3 linked regions of the Nothobranchius furzeri genome follow. The protein of the gene in region 1 binds, or shares a complex with, the protein of each later gene. Links are inferred from orthologs where the notes say so. Each region holds a gene or a part of one and is shown in the gene's direction. Other genes may lie near its edges.

Region 1 (6,237 bases):
TTTCTTCCTCCTCTCCAAGCGTATGTGCTGCTGTAACGAGTGATTTTCCCTACTGGGATTAATAAAGTCTATTCTGTTCTAATAAAAAGTTCCTCCAATGTTGCGGAACATAAACTTTCAGTCCACTATTTGAATTCTTCGATCCATACATTTTCAGGAAAGTGCAGCATCTTGTGTTTCTGATCACTAATGAAACACAAAACAATTGAACTAAACCAAATGAAAAACATGCCAGAGATGTGCAAGCATCCCAAAGAGTCCTCTGCTAAGGTGATAATTTGCATGAAACAATTTTCCCATCATCCTTAAAAGGACTGTTTATCCTAGCAGCTTAATATGTGTTTTATATTGCACCCACCCTATAGATGCCACAGAAGGCTTTAGCATTCCTCAGACTTACAGATTAGTTGAGCTGGTGGGTGTTCTGGAGGATCAACACACCAAGCTGGTGGAGATCGGTAAACACAGCTGGGGACACTCACTGCTGCTAGGTCTGCAGCTCAGTTGGACCCCCCCTCTTTAACACATCTATATGTGTGTTTGCTCTGGGGATGTGTCCTAATCTTCACACAGGCTGGGATGAAAGTGACCCTGTCCAAAATCATTGTCTTGCTAGTTTCTCTGTTGCTAAACTTGAAAGATCTTAGTTATAAAGGTCGTCTGTAGGTCTCCCTGTGGGTGGGATGTCTCTGAGATACTTTATGATAAAGTCTTGAACATTACCCAACCCCTCCCTGAAGATGTCATCCACGACTGAACAAAGTGATGACCTGTTTCTAACAGACTTCTACTACTTTGGCAAAGGGTTAGAGGTGCGTTTGTGAATATTAGGACCAATCTTAATATTTTGATTTAATTATTCAAAAGTTTACATCACTGAAGCCTCAAAAGATCTTGGCATCCATGAAATAAGTTAATAGAGACCTGTTGTCCTTCTCTGCTGTTGCAGGTCTCTACACAGTTAGACGTTTTCAATTTTGATGTTCAAGTAATTTTGCAGCACAGAGCGCCCTCTGCTGGTGAAGCTTCAGATCAAAGTAGGACAAGCCGTGATTAAAAAAAAAGTAATTTGTGTGTGTGTGTGTGTGTGTGTGTGTGTGTGTGTGTGTGTGTGTGTGTGTGTGTGTGTGTGTGTGTGTGTGTGTGTGTGTGTGTGTGTGTGTGTGTGTGTGCTTTGCTTTGCTTTATGGTATTATAAGATAATAAAAATTTTAATTTGACACACAGACTCTAATTTAAATAAAGTTTAAGTTAAACTTTGAAATCCACAAAGAGAATGTTGGCTTCGACTTAAATATGTAAACAAAACAAAAAAACAAGTCTACCAAAATAACAGCAGCAAACAAAGATCCTGGATATCATTTCATAACAAGAATATGTGAGTCTGTTTGATCATTCATCATTGATCAACATGCCAGGAGAATCCTGAAAGGAATGTTGATAAATGATCCACGTTTTAACAGATTTGTACAAAGTTGCCATCAAAGGGTATATGAATGTAATCCACATTTTATTTTGGTAGGATTATTGCATTTTCTGACACTCTGACATAGCATCCTACCTGAATATGAATTTGAAACCACTGCATTAGGATTTGTACATAACTATTTGATTTAATGCTAAATTAGTAAATAAAGATAATTAAAAAATATAAAAAGATGTTCAGTACAACAGTAGATGCACACGTTTTTTTACCTTTATTGTCAATTAATAGTTGACCTCAAAACCTATTATGTATGAATATGTAAAATGTGTTTTGGAATTACTAATACTTTTGAATAGCTTGAATCTATGTCTACATGTGATAAAAAATAATGACTAAATAACTCACATGCCATCTTAATAAATTTGTCTAAATGTTACGTATTAACACGTAAATGTACAAAAATAAATGATACTTAAAAATGGTGTTTAAATAGCTACAAAATAATAATTAAGACAATTATTTAATAAAATAAAGTATACTCAAAATACTAAACGTTATTTACTGCATTTCACAAACAAATGAAATTGTTGGTAAGTCTTTCTATACATAAAACATTTTTTGTTTTATTCTAAATGAAAGATTAGGAGGTAATAACTGATACATAGTTTCAGTTATTTGCTTTTTATTTCATCGCACTAATTGTGTCCTTTCGGCTTCCGTTGGAGTAACGTAAAAAAGCCCTTTACGTCAGCATAACAACAACTTGTCATGAGAGCTCGTACGGGGAAAATCAATACTTAAAGACTGTATATCAAAATAAATGAAGTCACAATCATCTGGATGTAAGATTTATCATTAAAGGTAAGAGTTGGAAACGGTAGGCTTTAACAACGAACTCAGTTTAAACCAGAAACAGGGGAGGCTTTGGGCTAACAGGCTAATTTTAGCATTAGCTAAAGATTTTTTTACTTATCGCTTAGCCGGGTCTTGGTGTACTATATTATTAACGACAGTGTCCGGCTGAGAATAGTTTGGGATCAAACGTGGCATTTATTGTTCATTTGATGAATTCAGTGAGTTTAACTAGAGCTGAATGAGCGGAATCCTTTAGCAACCCCCGGTGAAAACCGACCACGTAGCCTAGCTTACTAGGCATAGCAGCGATCTCTGGTCTCACTAAAGTTGTGAATTTTTTCGTCTGAGAACATTTTCTTCCACAGCAGCTAGCCTCCAACTGTTCCTGCGCAAGCGAGTGATCTGTTTGGAGGTGTCGGTCGTCACCTTTCGGCTACCTCTGGTGTAAAGTTACCCTGACTTAATACTCAAAGCGGTGCTCATTGCAGATTGCAGCCCACGCCGATGTCCGTCATATGAATAGTTAATTCAGTCTAGGCACCTAGCTGTGTTTTTCAGCGGCAGTGCGCGCAGTCAGCAAATCAAACCTTTTGGGTGGCATCGAGCAGCATTGCACCTAAAAGACGCGCATTGCAGCTGCAGTGCAGTAAACCCTGTGGTGTCTGCTCTGTAGAGCGCGATCCAGGACGGACTGGTCATTTTGAACTCTGACGTCTGGCCAGCCGAAGAGACGGGGAACAGGATTGGGAAGCAGGGCGAGGCGGGCCCCGCGGAGCCGGTGGAGAAGATGGCCGGCAGCCCGGAGAAGAGTTCCACCGCGCAGGAGTTGAAGGAGCAGGGGAACAGGCTGTTCCTCTGCCGCAAGTACCAGGAGGCTGCAACCTGCTACAGCAAAGCTATTGTGAGTGGCACTAAGGATGTCTGAGTCTTAAGTCATCTAAGCTGGAAGAATACAAATGTTTCTGATTACAGATAATTCATTAACACACTTTCTGGTTTATTTTGTCCCACAGAACCGTAATCCATCAGTGGCTGTATACTACACCAACAGGGCCCTCTGCCATGTAAAGCTGCAGCAGTATGACAAGGCTCTGGCTGACTGCAAGCATGCTCTGGAGCTGGACAGCCAGTCCGTTAAGGCACACTTCTTCCTGGGTCAGTGTCACCTGGAGCTGGAGAACTACGACGAGGCTATTGGAAACCTGCAGAAAGGTTTGAGGAAGTCCTTAAAGAGGATGTAAACATGGCTGAGTTTTGCGTCATTTGGGGGGAAAAGTTCGTCTCACAAGTTCCTTCATTTTTCTTTCATAATTCCTTTTAGATTGAAGTTTTTGTATTGTCATCCTTTTATGTAGTTGTTTTCTCGTCCCCATTGTCTTCAGCAATCTTTAAAAGTTCTATTCCATGTCTACATCAATGTTGTGTAGATAAATTAATGACTTGTTGTGTAACATTTCAGAAAAGTCCGTTTTTTTCACAGTTCAACATGACCCTTAAATGTTGTAATACAATCTCCAGTAATTTCTGCCTATTTTAAATACCAGAAAGCTGATGTTTAAGTGCTGCTGGCTGACAGACTCACACTGTTCAGTCCGTGTGTTTTACTCATTTATATCTTTGAATGTTGCTGACAAGTCTCCAGACAAGTTCTTCAAACAAGCAGATCACACAGAGCATTAAACCCAATGTGCAACAGTTATTTGTTTTTTTTTACTAAAGCAGCGGAGTCCAATCCTGGTTCTGGAGTGCCGGTATCCAGCACGTTTTAGCTGTGTCCCTGCTCCAACACACTTAATCAGCAGCTCATCAAGGTCTTCAGAAGCCTGTTAATCACCTGCTGAGTGAAATCAGATGTGTTGGAGCAGGGAAACAACTAAAACATGCTGGATACCGGCTGACTTCAAAACTCATGGATAAGTCTAAAACCATAACACAACACGAGGGTCAGATTTATGCTTTCTATTATAAATGTATAGTTTACAGGCCAAACCAGAGCAATCAGAGGCTGGTTACCTGGTGGGTGCTGATGGACTGAGTCAGTGTCTCCAGTCTGCGTCATAATGATAGAGAAAGCTTGGTCATGTGTAGCTGCAGGTGCAAAATCTCTATCTTCTAACTACAACCTAACCTACCATTTCAGAGCGTTGGGAAATTGTTAAGCAGCCACAGCACCAGCTCTTCTGCAGCAGCATGGAATTGATAGAAAATTGATTTAAAGACTGTTTAGATGTTCTTTTTGACCGTTTTCCAAACTTCCAAGTTTTAACTAATGTGACTTATTTATTTGTTTATAGCGTATAACCTGGCAAAAGAGCAGAGGCTGAACTTTGGAGACGACATCCCCAGTGCGTTACGCATCGCCAAGAAAAAACGTTGGAACAGCATCGAGGAGAAGCGCATCAACCAGGAGAACGAGCTGCACGCCTACCTGACCAAACTCATCCTGGCTGAGAAGGAGAGGTCAGATGGGATTTTTCTGAAATACATTCTGGCACGCTGTGCTCCAGGTGGTTTAGATTTAGTGATATAACGTGGCGTTTACTATTTTTCATAGAGAACTTGAAGAATACAGAGAAAAACAGGATGACAATCAAAGCGGAGGAGATGCAGCAAAGATTTCATCAAAACACGTTGGGTTTTGCCCTGATTTTCACACTTTTTACTGACCAAAATATGCGTTGATGTTAATTTTGGGACATTTTCATTACATGTAAACGTGACCTGCTAAGGACAAGTATTTAATGGACATGGACGAGCTGTTCTCCCAAGTGGACGAGAAAAGAAAAGTGAGTTGACAAGTTGTTAATTTTTTGTTGTTTATTTCATTTAATTCATATTTAAATACTTTAAATAATCTAACAGAGAAACAGTGTGTGTCTCCCCCCCCCCCCTCCCCCATTTTTGTAGTTGGCATAAGAGCAGCAAATATACTTGATTCTTCAGATCTGACTTGAGATCTGTTTTATTTAAGTCTATCTTTTGCGGTTATTTTATTTTTATACAACCTCAGTAACTTCACTGACAGATGAGATCGCATGAAATAAGATGGTTGTTTTAATTTTAGCGCAAGCTGTTTCTATGACGACTGTTACTTGCTGTTTGCCAAGTTTCTTGCCAGAGCTGGTTGTTTATATTGAGGTTGTAGTCGTATAAGGGAGGATGGAACTGGCCTTGAAATTAGAATAAGATGTATCAATCTGTTATGTGTTTGCTTAATATCGTATTAGGATGATCGTTGAGGCTTTTTAGGAGGAAGTGACATCAGTGTGGTTGCTAAGCAGCAGCTTGTTGATGACCTGGACCCTGTTAGACCAGAATAAATCATCTAATTGTATAGAAACCCTGATTGTTTAGAGTTTCCTCTTTTCCTGATTCCAGAAGCGAGAGATTCCAGATTATCTTTGTGGGAAAATCAGTTTTGAGTTGATGAGGGAGCCCTGCATCACACCCAGCGGGATCACTTATGACCGCAAGGACATAGAAGAGCATCTACAGGTAAACAGTTTCAGGTCTGCTGGTAGTTGGTGACTTGTTTTATTTGATTGTTTTTTTTTTTATCTATGTGTATGTTGTTGACTGTTTTATTTGTTTTAGCAACATCAACCTGCCAGAGGACTGCAAGTGGAAATTAGTCTTAAAATCTGGCATATTTACTGTTCATAAGTATGCATTGTCCTCCTTTAAATAAATAATGAATGAATGAATGAATAGAACAGCTTGTTAAAATGTGTGGACTGAACTGCGAGCAGGTTTACAGCATTGGTCACCATGGTGACAGACTCAGGTGACAGGTTAATTGTAATTTCCAACAGCATCTGAAGTTTTCTTCCTCAAGCCGCTAAAGCCAGGGTCACACTGGGCCGCCACCGCGACGTGAAGTGCTGATCCTGTGGTAGGACAGGCTTCTGTCCACAAGTCTAGACATGATCAGATCAGTAGCGGTGGGTTATGTATCA
Region 2 (6,158 bases), on another chromosome or scaffold:
AAGGTTGCATGTTTGATCCCGGCTCTGGACAGAGAATTCTGTTGCCCCTGCAGCGGCCGGCGGTGACAGTGTTCAGCAGGCCTCACCTTGCCTGCTGGTGGTGGTTGGAGGGACTGGTGGCGTCTGAGCTCAACAGCCTCACCTCTGTCAGAGAGCCCCAGGGCAGCTGTGGCTACAATGTAGCTCATCCCTACTAGTGTAAGAATGTGTGTGTGAACGGATGAATGATACACTGCAGTGTAAAGCACTTTGGAGTCTTCAGACTCTGAAAGGCGCTATGCAAGTGCAGGTCATTTATCATTCATTTACTTGTTTTTATTGTTTTGAGTGAGACTTTTTTGCCCTGATGAAGAAAACTCTTTTATTATTTGAAAACAGAAAATAAAGTCGGTCCATCTTTCACAGCTAAGTCAATAACCCTAAAAAAATGCATGTAAACATAGTTGTAAGTGAATGTGATGAGAATGGGCTATTAGATGAGGATCAGCCTATTACAAGGCTAAAATAAATAAATATAACACTGAAGAAGATTTATTTTTATACTGTATTTGAACAGCAACAATGACAATAATATGAAAAACTCACGAGATTTTCCCAAAGGGTGAAAATGCAGCTCTGACGTCTTCGGTGGTAATCTCAGGATTCAAATCACCCACAAAAACATGGAAGTGATCTAAAACAAATTTTTAAAACGTAAAAATTAAAAAATGCTTACAATCCTTGTTTAACTTTTTAATTAGATTAAAATAAACCAGTGAAATTGTGAAGGCTTACTGGATGTGTCTTTCTTCTGGCTACTAGGTGTTGTGGCCCAATTAACCTTAACCTCCTATTTAAAAACAGTGACAAGCAATTAATATACAGAAACATATTAAAACTATGGGGGGGAGAAAATGACGGGAACTCTTACCTTTCCAAGGATTTTTCTCCCATTCATGGCTGCAAGGGCAGCAGCAGCATCTTTGTGCTCGAAAAACTCCACAAAACAATACGGGTCATTGCTTGTGTGCTGCAGCAACATGAAACAGTTTAGTGATGGATTTGTTTTTAGGGCTAGGATATACATTACCATAAAAGATAACGGGTAGTTTTACCTCTGTGATCATTTTGCAGCTTTTACACGGTCCAATCTGGGAGAAGAGTTGTAAAATCAAAACCTCTGTAACGTCCCAGGAGAGGTTTCCCACGTACCTGCAATGAAGAGGAAGTTTAAAATGTAGACGAGGTTTAATTCAGATTCAGACCTACAGTAATTTATGATTTATATATCACAGATCATGATGTAGAGGACACTACCAGCTAACGTTATATAAATATCCTCGTTTCCAATGTGAAACTGTTTAAGGTAATCCCTCATCTGAACTAACGTTTTTTTTAATCGTCGAAATATACGTGTTTTTGAACGCCTACTAATTAAAAACGTAAATTAACACTTAATATTGAACGTTGTCTACACTTGTTTTTTGGACATGTAGCTCAGTTAGCCGCTGCGTATGAGAAACCAAACGAAAGCTAGCTACCACGAAAACACTAAAAATACTTACAGGGTTCTGGGGTAACTTTCGTCGTCCATGACCAACACTGAACGTGACGTCGTAGAAAAAATATAAACTATTTGGTAATTAAAGGACGTAGACTGAGAGATAAACGCTGTAAACAACGAGCTAACTAGCTTAGAAAGCTAACCGGGCAACGTTTCTTACGTCACGCTGAGTGTGCTAACTGCGCCTGCGCATGAGCACCGAAAGGTCAACCCAAAGGGTCTGGGTCAACCTTTAGTTCGAAGCTATAAATGGCTTAATTTTATTCTGTAAGTTGAATTCACCGTGTGTAAATAGAAATTAATTGAATAAAACAGTTGATTCAGAGAATATAATGACTTATTTCCCTCTTGCTTTTCGAAAGCAACGCAATTTACGTAAAAGGCTTTTATTTTGAAGTCCATTACATGGGTACGCTCGTTTTGTATTTCGAGGTTTTCACGATTTGGACTCGAACAAAACAAGCATCGGTACTCATTTTTCACAAGGTTTTCCGAATTTTTAAACTTGATAATAGAAACAAGATGGGGTTCTTTTCCTCACAAAAATGACACACATTTTATAACAGACTAGATGACATACATATTTCTAATTTTAATCTCAGAAAGGAGCCAATATTCTACCCTTTCTCATAATTCTTACAATCTAAGAAATCTGAGAAAATAACTTTTTATCAGTGGCCTTAATTCTCCTCCGTAGATATTTATCAGAACGATAAATCATATTTGTTTCAAGTTCCTGGCGTTTTGTGTCTCCGCACCGATGCAGACGCATAAACAGGTTTAGCAGTTGCATCTCTAAGCAAATTGGATTGAGGGGAAAAACTGCTGTTCAAACCCCAGGTCTAATAGATTTGCGCATGCGTGAGTGAGAAGGTTTCAGGGTTATTACGTGATTCTGGGGTTGTTATTAAAGTAGAGCTGGTAATAGCTGCTCTCTGTAAACACCAACTATAACTAAATTAATGTAGTGTCTTTTGTTGGGGGGTGTCTGCGACACAAGAAGTAGCCGCCATGCCGCTGCTTCCAGCGCGGTCCGCCGCCCCCGACATTAACCCCGCTATTTCGAGAAACTTCCAGCCCACTTTCCTACGTCACTCGCAGGAATCTTTAAAGGGACCGCCGCCCATAAAAAATGTCTCAGTACTCGCCATGAACGCAGTGAAGACGCACTCTCCGACACTTGTGATGGCTGATAATGACATCGACCAGCTCCCCCTCGGATGGGAAGTCAAAATCGACCCTCACACTGGATGGCCCTTTTTCGTGGATCACAACAACCGGACGACAACCTGGAATGACCCGAGACACGACACCAAAAAGGTAACGGAGGCGGGATAAAGTTGTTTCAACGGGTTTCCGTAGGGTGCTGCGTCGGTTACGGATTGTGTTAAGCTGCTGGAGTCGCTACGCTACATGGCTGTTTTGTGTTAATCTTGTTGACTGTAGGCCTTGTTAGGTCCCGTCGCCTCCCCCTCACTGACTGCTCATAAGCCTAATAAAACGGGTGATCAGCCCCGTTATGTTCCCGAGTCATGATCTAACACTATTATTACCCGATGACTCACTGCCGAGTGTCAAGGCTTTCTGATACCAGCGTTAATTTAGGTGGAAAACTCATTATAAACTTTTTTACCCACAAAATAAAATGCAGTTGGGTCCCATTCCATTTAGGATATTGAATCTGGTTGTTTAGATGTGGAAATGTAGAAATCTACAGGTCTGTAATCAAATCCGTGGGCTGACGTGAGCTCCACAGGCTGCCAGCTGGGTAATCTTTCTTCATAGGGACAGACACTGTTTTCCAAAGTTAGTGTCCTGAGGAATCTGCTAGAAAGACACAGCTGTTGAGGGATAAAATTGGTGCATTGGACCAGGCAGAGGGCAAAGGGTCGTTCACGGCTATTTCTCAACTTTTGCTGGAGGATTATCAATAGTTCACACATTAATGCCCTGCTTGTAGTTGTATTTTATTTATTTTTTATTATCTCAGCTGCATGGGGCACTTTCAGTGTTGGTGTTTGATCATTCTGAGGCTTATGTAAAAAAAGTATTTGCACCTTTACAGATTTCTTCTGCTTTTGTTCTTTTTGTTGTCACGCATAAATGTTTCAGATCAGCAAAGACAAAATGCAGTTTTCAGATGAAGACTTCAAGTTCTCTTAACCAATAACTCTGAACACTCTTGGACAGAGGCGGCACCAGGACATTTTCATGGGGGACAAGATTGGGGGGCCAAGGAAAATTTAAGGGTGGCACATCAAACTAGTTCTCTTGGTAACTCTTGAGTTTTTTAGCCTGTAGCTGTGCTCTGCATCCTCATCCATTCTTAAAAAATATGCAGCAGAAATGTTATATTTGAGAAAATAAGAAACTTCAAATATTTAATTTATTCATACTTTAACATTTACTTTTTAGTAGTTTAGAACAGCTGGATGTATCTGTCGCTGTCTTAATGAATGCATTTTACAAAACAGATTGATATTTGTACTTCTTCTTGAAAATGGTGCACAGCAGCAACATATTAATTTGTTTACTTATTTCTATATTTGTAAGGTTTTACATTTTATTAAAGAAGACTAATGTATAGTTTTGTGAACATAAATATTGAACATAAATATGATTTATTAAAGGAGGTTGGAGAGTGGAAGTGCTCTGAGGTGGCCAGCAATTTTCCAGGATTGGTCAAGGCCCCCCTCTGGCCACCACTTGGGGGCGCCACTGTTCTTGAAGGCAACAACTGCAATTAAAGAGACGGTGTGTATTTTTCCTGGCGATAGGGGGCAGTAGATACATAAATCGTTGCAAGCAAGCAGTATTTTTGTGTTTGAGTAACCCCAAAATTCCACTATCTCCGCTCCGGCACGAACTCTGCAGCAAAAACGGTCCCGTTGTAGTCAATCAGAGCTGTTCCACTACTGCGGCCGTGCGGCGCAGTGAGCCGTTCCGCCATCCGGCAAAAATGGATTGATTCTATTTTTGCCGGACGCCGGAGCACCTCCGCAGTCAAAGGACAGAAATCACAATCGCCCAACAGGAAAGGGAGCAAGCACAACTTCCGTTATTTCACAATAAATCGATAAACAAAAAACGTTTTTTGTTTCATATGCACATGTTTAACAACTTTTAACAACTATCAATGGCGGTTGAACTTTAAATGCACAACATAAGCCATAAATACAGTTTCTACTATCAAAGTAGTCACACTTTGTTGATCCAAACACTGCTGATCTCTCAACACAAATGATGGGCAGATTAAACAGTTCATTTCGATGCTTCCCCCACACAACGGGTGTTTGGATCTAACTTCCAACGAGCATTTATTGCTCGGACTGTATCGCAAGATCTCGAAAATCCAGCGCATGCCTGTTTGCGCACCTCAGGTCTCTGCACCGGAGCGGAGCCGTTGTAGAGCGGGTACCAGTAAAAATTGAGTTCGGAAGCGAGCGGCTGCGGAAAGCGACAGATGCTCATTAGGGTCAAAAAGCCCTGGGGAGTGCAAACTTTAGTAAAATGACAAGCACATCAGACTCCCTTTAATCAGTGGCAACAAGTGAAGAGGTAAATGTGTAAAACAACATTTAAGAATGACAAAAGTTTTGTAACTGTTTGTTACAAATCAGTAAATGCAATTTGTCCTCACGGGCTCCCTTAGAAGGAAACTTGACATCTAATATGGAGTCACCCAGAGACTTAGACCCACTCCCATGTATTTTAGACCTGATTTTTATGGTTATTATACAAAGCCGTCAATCATTTTCAACAACTGGGCATCATTCCATTAATTTAACGACATTTTGATGGATATTTCCAGAAATGAATGATTAAAAACTACACATTGTCTCTTTAAGCTCAAGAACAACGAGTCAATCTCTTTAAGAGTCTCACTTGGAAATCACCTATACGTTATATAAAGGGGAAAGTTGCCAAAGCCATAGCAGTATTCTATAGAGTCATGTTTCTACTAAGTTGGTCTGGGTTATTAATGTTGTATCACTCACTGATTGAACCATATTTAATTTATTGTTTGGAAATTTGGGGAGCCACATGCAAAACTTTTACTCAACCTTTGTTCATTTTACAAAAAGCGCATTGAGAATCATAACAGTAACTATAGAGATCCCTCTAATCCATTATCCATTAGAAATAAAATACTGAAATTTCCTGACTTGAAAATATTGTAAATAATGTACAGAGCGAATACGAGTAATTTACCAACTAATATTCCGAAAATGTTTCATAAGAGAGTAAGTGGGTACGTGTTAAAAGGGACTGATGTCTGATGTAAACCTGAATTCAGAATGTAATATTTCTGTAAATGGTGTAAGATTGTGGAACGCCCTTAACAGAGAAATTAAAGAATCAAACTCACATGCTATAAATATTTAAAAATGTATAAAATCAAATGTATTAAGTAATTATGAAAAGGTAAACTAAAATGTCAATGATTATATATAAACAGTAGAACGGGACTAAGGTTATATTGTGAATGTTATGTGCTCGTTTTCATTCAAATGTTTTTTTTTCATTACGTTTATGTATTTGTTTGTGTTTATTTTATAAATTTTGAATGAAATAAAAAGAGTTTTAAAAAAGCATTTGTGACTGGTCTCATCAC
Region 3 (6,341 bases), on another chromosome or scaffold:
ACTACCGGCTATGCGGACCAAACTCACGCTCCTCTGGTAAAGGGACTGAATGGCCCTTAACAGAAAGCCACCCACCCCATACTCCTGGAGCGTCCCCCACAGGGTGCCCCTGGAGACAGGGTCATAAGCCTTCTCCAAATCCACAAAACACATGTGGATTGGTTGGGCAAACTCCCATGCCCCCTCCATCACCCTTGCAAGGGTATAGAGCTGGTCCACAGTTCCACGGCCAGGACCAAAACCACATTGCTCCTCCTCAATCTGAGATTCAACTATCGATCGGACCCTCCTCTCCAGTACCTTGGAGTAGACCTTTCCAGGGATGTTGAGGAGTGTGATCCCCCTATAGTTGGAACACACCCTCAGGTCACCCTTCTTAAAGATGGGGACCACCACCCCGGTCTGCCACTCCACAGGAACTGCCCCCGATGACCACGCAATGTTGCAGAGACGTGTCAACCATGACAGCCCTACAACATCCATAGCCTTGAGATACCCAGGACGAACCTCATCCGCTCCCGGGGCTCCACCGCTGTGTAGTTGTTTGACTACCTCAGCAACTTCTGCCCCCAAGATTGGACAGTCCATCCCCAGGTCCCCCGGCTCTGGTTCCTCCTCGGAATGCGCATAGGTGGGATTGAGGTTCTCCTCAAATATTCCTTCCACCGTCCGACTATAGCCCCAGTTGACATCAGCAACTCCCCATCCCCACTGTAAACAGTGTGAGCGAGTTGCTGCCTCCTTCTCCTGAGGTGCCGGACAGTTTGCCAGAAACTCTTTGGAGCCGATCGATAGACTTTCTCCATGACCTCACCAAACTCCTCGCTTGGCTATCGGGTACCTGTCTGCTGCCTTCGGAGACCTACAGACCAGCCACGCCCTGTAGGCCTCCTTCTTCAGCCTGACGGCTCCCTGAACCTCTAGTGTCCACCAGCGGGTACGGGGGTTGCCACCACGACTGGCACCGGCCACCTTGCGACCACAGCTAGCAACAGCCGCCTCAACAATCGCAGAGTGGAACAAGGCCCACTCTGGGTAAATGTCCCCCACTGCTCTCGGGACGCGGTCAAAGCTCTGCCGGAGGTGGGAGTTGAAGACCGTCTTAACAGGTTCTTCTGCCAGGCGTTCCCAGCAGACCCTCACTATGCGTTTGGGTCTGCCAGGTCTACACGGCATCTTCCCCTGCCATCTGATCCAACTCACCACCAGGTGGTGATCAGTTGTCAGCTCTGCTCCTCTCTTCACTCCGGTGTCCTAAACATACGGCCGCAGGTCAGATGATATGACTACAAAGTCTATCATTGACCTGCGACCTTGGCTGCCCTGGTACCAAGTGTACCGGTGGGCATCCTTATGTTCGAACATGGTGTTCGTTATGGCCAAACTGCGGCTTGCACAGAAGTCCAATAACAAAACACCGCTCGAGTTCAGATTAGGTGGGCCGTTCCTCCCAATCACACCCCTCCAGGTCAAGATGTCATTGCCCACGTGAGCATTGAAGTCCCCCAGCAGGACAATGGAGTCCCCTGATGGAGCACTATCTAGCACTCGTCCCAGGGACTCCAAAAAGGGTGGGTACTCTGAACTGATATTTGGCCCATAAGCACAAACAACAGTCAGGACCCGTTCCCCGACCCGAAGGCACAGGGAAGCTACCTTCTCATCCCCCAGGGTAAACCCCAACACACAGGCAGAGAGACTTGGGGTTAACAAAAAGCCAACCCCAGCCCTCCGCCTCTCACCCGGGTGCAACTCCAGCAAAGGAGAGTGTCCCACCCCTCTCAAGGACTTGGGTTCCAGAGCCAATGCTATGTGTCGAGGTGAGTCCGACTATATCTAGCCGGTACCGCTCAACCTCTGCCACAAGCTCCTGCTCCTTCCCCGCCAGTGAGGTGACGTTCCATGTCCCAAAGTCCAGTTTCCTTGTCCGGGGATCGGACCACCAAGGCTCCCACCTTGGTCTGTCACCCGATCCACACTGCACCGGACCCTTCATGCTCCTCCTGCAGGTGGTGGGTCCACAGTTGGATGAGCCCATGTATCCGGTTCGGGCTGGGCCCGGTCAGGCCCCATGGGCGAAAGCCCGGCCACCAAGCGTTCGCTCACGGGCCTCAACCCCAGGCCTGGCTCCAGGGTGGGACCCCGGTAAGTTAACCCTCCGGGCCGGGTACTCCGACTCTTTGAATTTACATCCATGAAAGATCCTTTGAACCTTTCTTTGTCTCACCCTTCACCTAAGACCAATTTGTCATGGGAGACCCTACCAGGGGCACAAAGTGCCACAGACAACATAGCTCCTAGGATCATTAGGGCACTGAAACTCCTCCACCACGATAAGGTGACGGTTCAAGGAGTAGTAGGTAATATTGAATAAACTAATTTAGTTATAACGTTTTATCAGCAGGCGTGTGTAATTTCTAATCAAATATATTATATCTATAAAAAAACATCCGAAAGTGAATTTCCAAAAAACAAGTACAACTATCACCAAGAAAGAAATGAGAATGAGGTAAACATGTTTTTAACAAATGAAATAAAAAAGGAACAAAAGACGAATAGAATTTTTAAGAGTAGAAAACCAAAATGAAAATGTGATTTTATTCTATTTTTACCATTTTTTCCCCTTGCCTTATTTATTATGATATATTTTTTGCCATGTTTATTTATTTTTAAGCTCTTTATTTCTGTTAGTCTGGATTCAGGCGAATATGGTTATATTCATTAATAATTTTTTTTTCTTTATGTGTGTGTGTGTGTCAAATTCAGAAAAAGGAAACAAAAACTAAGTAACAATTTATTTGAGTGACTATGATAGAAACTACAAACAAAAAGACGTAAGGACGTCGGTCCCACTTCCGGTGTCGTACAGCTACTGCGGCGGATGTTGATGTTTTGTTAGTAGCTCGCCTCGGACAGCGATGGGAGCTACTTGATATTTTTGTGGTCATCCTCTCTGTTCAGTGCGCGTTTCTCTGAGAGGTTTCCGTGGTTCTCGGTGTCGTTTCTCTCCCGGTGTCTTTACCGGGGTGAGATCGAGTCGGGAGATGATGGAGGACTTTGATGAGATCTACGAAGAGGAGGAAGAAGAAGAGGACGAGGACAGGGCCGCGGAAGAGCAGCTCCTCAAGTATGCTCCGGACCCGGTGGTGGTGCGAGGCTCCGGCCACGCTACTGTGTAAGCTACCGGCGGGACTGGCGGGGATCGTTCCCGGTAAAAGACAACTTGTCGGGGTGTGAGGGGAAACTTGCGGACTAGCTGGTGACTTAGCCGAGTTAGCTAGCTGCTAACAACTGGCTACAGTGAGCAGTTAGAGGACGGCGGTGAAGAGTTTGTTTTGTTTTCTCATCGTGAATTCACCATAATAATTGTGTTATTTTAGCCACTGACAAGTCAGCCCGCTGTTGATACCAACGGCACTCTTTGTCGAGCATTCAGCATTGTTTTTTAATTATAAAAACAAAGTTACTGTGGTTAACTATATTTACTAACGTCCGTTTCATTCCTCATATGTAACAGCTGGACTCAGTTTCCCGAATCTTGTCTCTTCCGGTCAGACTTTTTCGAGTTTAGACGGTTTACACATAAAAAATACTAGATGATACTGTTCACCCAAGCTGCTCCATCTTCTTGGTGTAGATATTCTGAAGCATCTAAAATGTACCTTTTTATGCTGCAAGAGTTTAAAACCTGGCCTAAATTATTTATTTTCTTTCAAATATCTTAAACATTCTGCCAACCCTTTCTAGATGTATAGTCAGTATCTCCAGGCTTTTTGAAGTGGTCTCAAGGTTACTTTAAGGTGCCTTTTCACCAATTTGCTGCCAACTTTTTTGTCCAAAAATAAGCCGCCCTCTGGATTTCAGATCTAGAATCAGTGCAGTTGGTCAGGCCTAGGTTCAGCAACATCATGTGCCCCAAGAATGAGGTCTGCTGAACTTACTGAATAATCAGATTAATCCATCAGTGGGGTTTTTCTTCCCTGATGGCATGTTCCCAGATAACAGTGCCAGGAGCCATCAGTCTCAAACTGTGGAAGAGTGGTTCAGGGAGCACGAGACACATGGATCGTCCACCGCAGAGCCCAGACTATAACATCACTGAGTCTCTGGGGTATGCCAGAAAAGGCTTTGTGCAGCGGTTGGACTCTCAAGGTCTTGGTGGAAAAATAATGCAACACTGTATGAAAAGAAAAACTTGTAAATAAGTGAAGTTAAACATCTGAACAAAGATTGCAATAACCCGAGATGGAGAAAAGATAACTTGTCTGCTTGTTTTGTTCCTGTTTAAATGAAGAGATCAGCTGTGTATCGAATGTGGCAAAAGAATATACTTCACACCACCAGAAACAACATAATGCGGTACTAAAAGCCAGATCAAGACTGAATTTAAGTAGAAAACTCACCCAAGACACATCCAGTGTTATCGCAACATCTTGTTCCATCAGAATGTAGGCGGTTAAAAACTGCTGCCACCTAGCAGACGGAGTGAACTACGCCACACAAACAAATTACAGTAAATGTTTGCATGTAAATTCTCAGTAGAAATCGATACACAGCATTTAATTATTGATTCAGTATCATAAAACAGAATATCACAATATTTCAGTTATATAATCCCTAACATAATCTCTGTTATGTTTACATATTGTATAAAAGCAGAGGCTATGCTGTGAACTGGTTTGTGAATCAGCTGATCTTGTTCTTGTCATTTTCTCTTTTAGTTACAAATTTAGAATCACATGAACCTTCATCCTGCTGTTTAAAGCAAACTAAACCGTAATCGTATGATCAGCTATGCCGTGTTGAGCTTATTTCACTTTATCTGTAGGTTTTCAGTTTAACTCGTAAAACTTCTTTCCGGAGTATTTCTCTTATCCGATGGCTCCATCTAGTGGCTCACAAGCATATCACACAAAAAAATCTGTTGCTCTGTTTAAGATCGCAACTTCACGTATAAATGTGCATCTGTAGCCGACAAACAGATCTAAAACACGTTGTTTTACGAGTATTATTCTCATGTCATGTTGTGTTCTCATATATTTATATTTTAGAGACTTACTTGTCCATGGAAAGTTCATCATCTCTGCATCAGCCGAGGTATTCCTTAAATTTGATGCAAGTAAGAGGTAGTCTAACGCTGTTGGTTAGTTCTGATCGGCACTCAGTTTCCTATTGCACGGAGCTCTGCGGGGCAGGGGGCGTGCTTGGCAAAGATAAATAAATAAATAAAAGACACATTGCTTACATTTTATCACAGTACATGATGAGACAACCGCTTTTATGGATTTCTGAAAAATCATACATCATTTCTGAAAGCGGAAAACTCCAGAAAGCAGCTTTAAAAGGGATGTAAGAAAATATCGATATAACAATGCCATACCATACCAATTTATTTATAAAGCACCATTTCAAAATAGCATGGCAGCTAACCAACCTGCTGTACAGAAAAGAGCCAAATGCTTGAACAAATCAACAAAGCACAATGAAAGCATGAAAATCAGGTAAAATACATAAAAACATAGCATAAATAATCAGGGATAAATATTCCTACTAAAAACAATAGAATAAGAGAGCAGTTAACTGCACTATCAAAAATAAAAATTAATGCGATGAATGATAAAAAACATTTGAAATGGCACAAATAAAACCAAAGACGCTACAAGATTGTGAAAGGTGTTAAAAGTAAGCTACTGAATCATAAAACCTAAATTGAGAAAAATAAACTCGGTGCTGGATTTTCACGTATATCGTGATATTTTTTCTTTTGACATTACAGTGATATTCAAAAGCCATGTATCTAACTTTTGGAAGAATTTACTTGCAAACATTTGTGTATTTTCTTTTCTTTTGGTGCAGTTCAAACGCCAACCACTAGTTGGCAGCAATGTGCAATGGGTTTTGTTTCCACCATGGAAATGGAAATCTCTCTATTGTGGTTCATATACCTCATGTTTATGTGTTTAGCAGACACTTTTTTCCTAAGCGACTGACGCCGGGGACACACCGGCTGCCGAAGAGCCGCGAAAAGGGGACCGCCTTCATTCGGCGCCCTTGTTATCCTATTCTATAGACCACATGGGCCGCTGAAGCGCCCCGGCACGTTCCCGCGCACGTCTGCGCTCCAGCCTGCGCCGTGCAGCGATCGTTTCGGCGTCTGCTCTATTTTTTTCGCAAGCCGCGGGTGAACCGCGTCAATTCTGGCAGGAAGTCAAACCTAGACATAAGAGGCAGGCCGGTAAATTTAACAAAATAAAGCATTTCAAAATACAATTCCACAATATTCAAATGTGTTCGTAAACAGACGCTGCATAAAAACCACACACACACACACACACACACAC

What was found. Proteins that work in one complex are often made in the same cells at the same time.
Region 2: stub1 (region 1) and bag3 share a complex: the UniProt entries of both Homo sapiens proteins name them as parts of the chaperone-assisted selective autophagy (CASA) complex. The link is inferred for Nothobranchius furzeri from reciprocal best matches to the Homo sapiens genes STUB1 and BAG3.
Region 3: the proteins of stub1 (region 1) and chic2 are in contact, whole or in part, in a crystal structure (PDB 8SUV), measured with the Homo sapiens proteins. The link is inferred for Nothobranchius furzeri from reciprocal best matches to the Homo sapiens genes STUB1 and CHIC2. Residues at the interface, in NP_005852.2 of Homo sapiens: Lys30, Asn34, Phe37, Tyr49, Val61, Asn65, Leu68, Leu71, Val94, Lys95, Phe98, Phe99, Gln102, Arg128, Asn130, Phe131, Gly132, Asp134, Ile135; in NP_036242.1 of Homo sapiens: Leu156, Pro157, Lys158, Thr159, Pro160, Ile161, Phe162, Arg163, Pro164, Asp165.

The regions. Positions count from the first base shown.
Region 1 is NC_091756.1:32,258,417-32,264,653, reverse strand, and holds the start of stub1 (E3 ubiquitin-protein ligase CHIP), read left to right. Parts: upstream 1-2,147; 5' UTR 2,148-2,287; intron 2,288-2,954; 5' UTR 2,955-3,068; coding exon 3,069-3,182; intron 3,183-3,294; coding exon 3,295-3,493; intron 3,494-4,575; coding exon 4,576-4,741; intron 4,742-4,835; coding exon 4,836-4,911; intron 4,912-5,010; coding exon 5,011-5,067; intron 5,068-5,659; coding exon 5,660-5,776; intron 5,777-6,237. UniProt on the Homo sapiens protein: E3 ubiquitin-protein ligase which targets misfolded chaperone substrates towards proteasomal degradation.
Region 2 is NC_091752.1:5,542,485-5,548,642, reverse strand, and holds the start of bag3 (BAG family molecular chaperone regulator 3), read left to right. Parts: upstream 1-2,664; 5' UTR 2,665-2,692; coding exon 2,693-2,863; intron 2,864-6,158. Other genes in the region: tial1 (nucleolysin TIAR), read right to left, coding at 586-673, 775-829, 911-1,009, 1,095-1,191, 1,545-1,573. UniProt on the Homo sapiens protein: Co-chaperone and adapter protein that connects different classes of molecular chaperones including heat shock proteins 70 (HSP70s), e.g. HSPA1A/HSP70 or HSPA8/HSC70, and small heat shock proteins (sHSPs), e.g. HSPB8.
Region 3 is NC_091747.1:75,929,272-75,935,612, forward strand, and holds the start of chic2 (cysteine-rich hydrophobic domain-containing protein 2), read left to right. Parts: upstream 1-2,847; 5' UTR 2,848-3,044; coding exon 3,045-3,175; intron 3,176-6,341.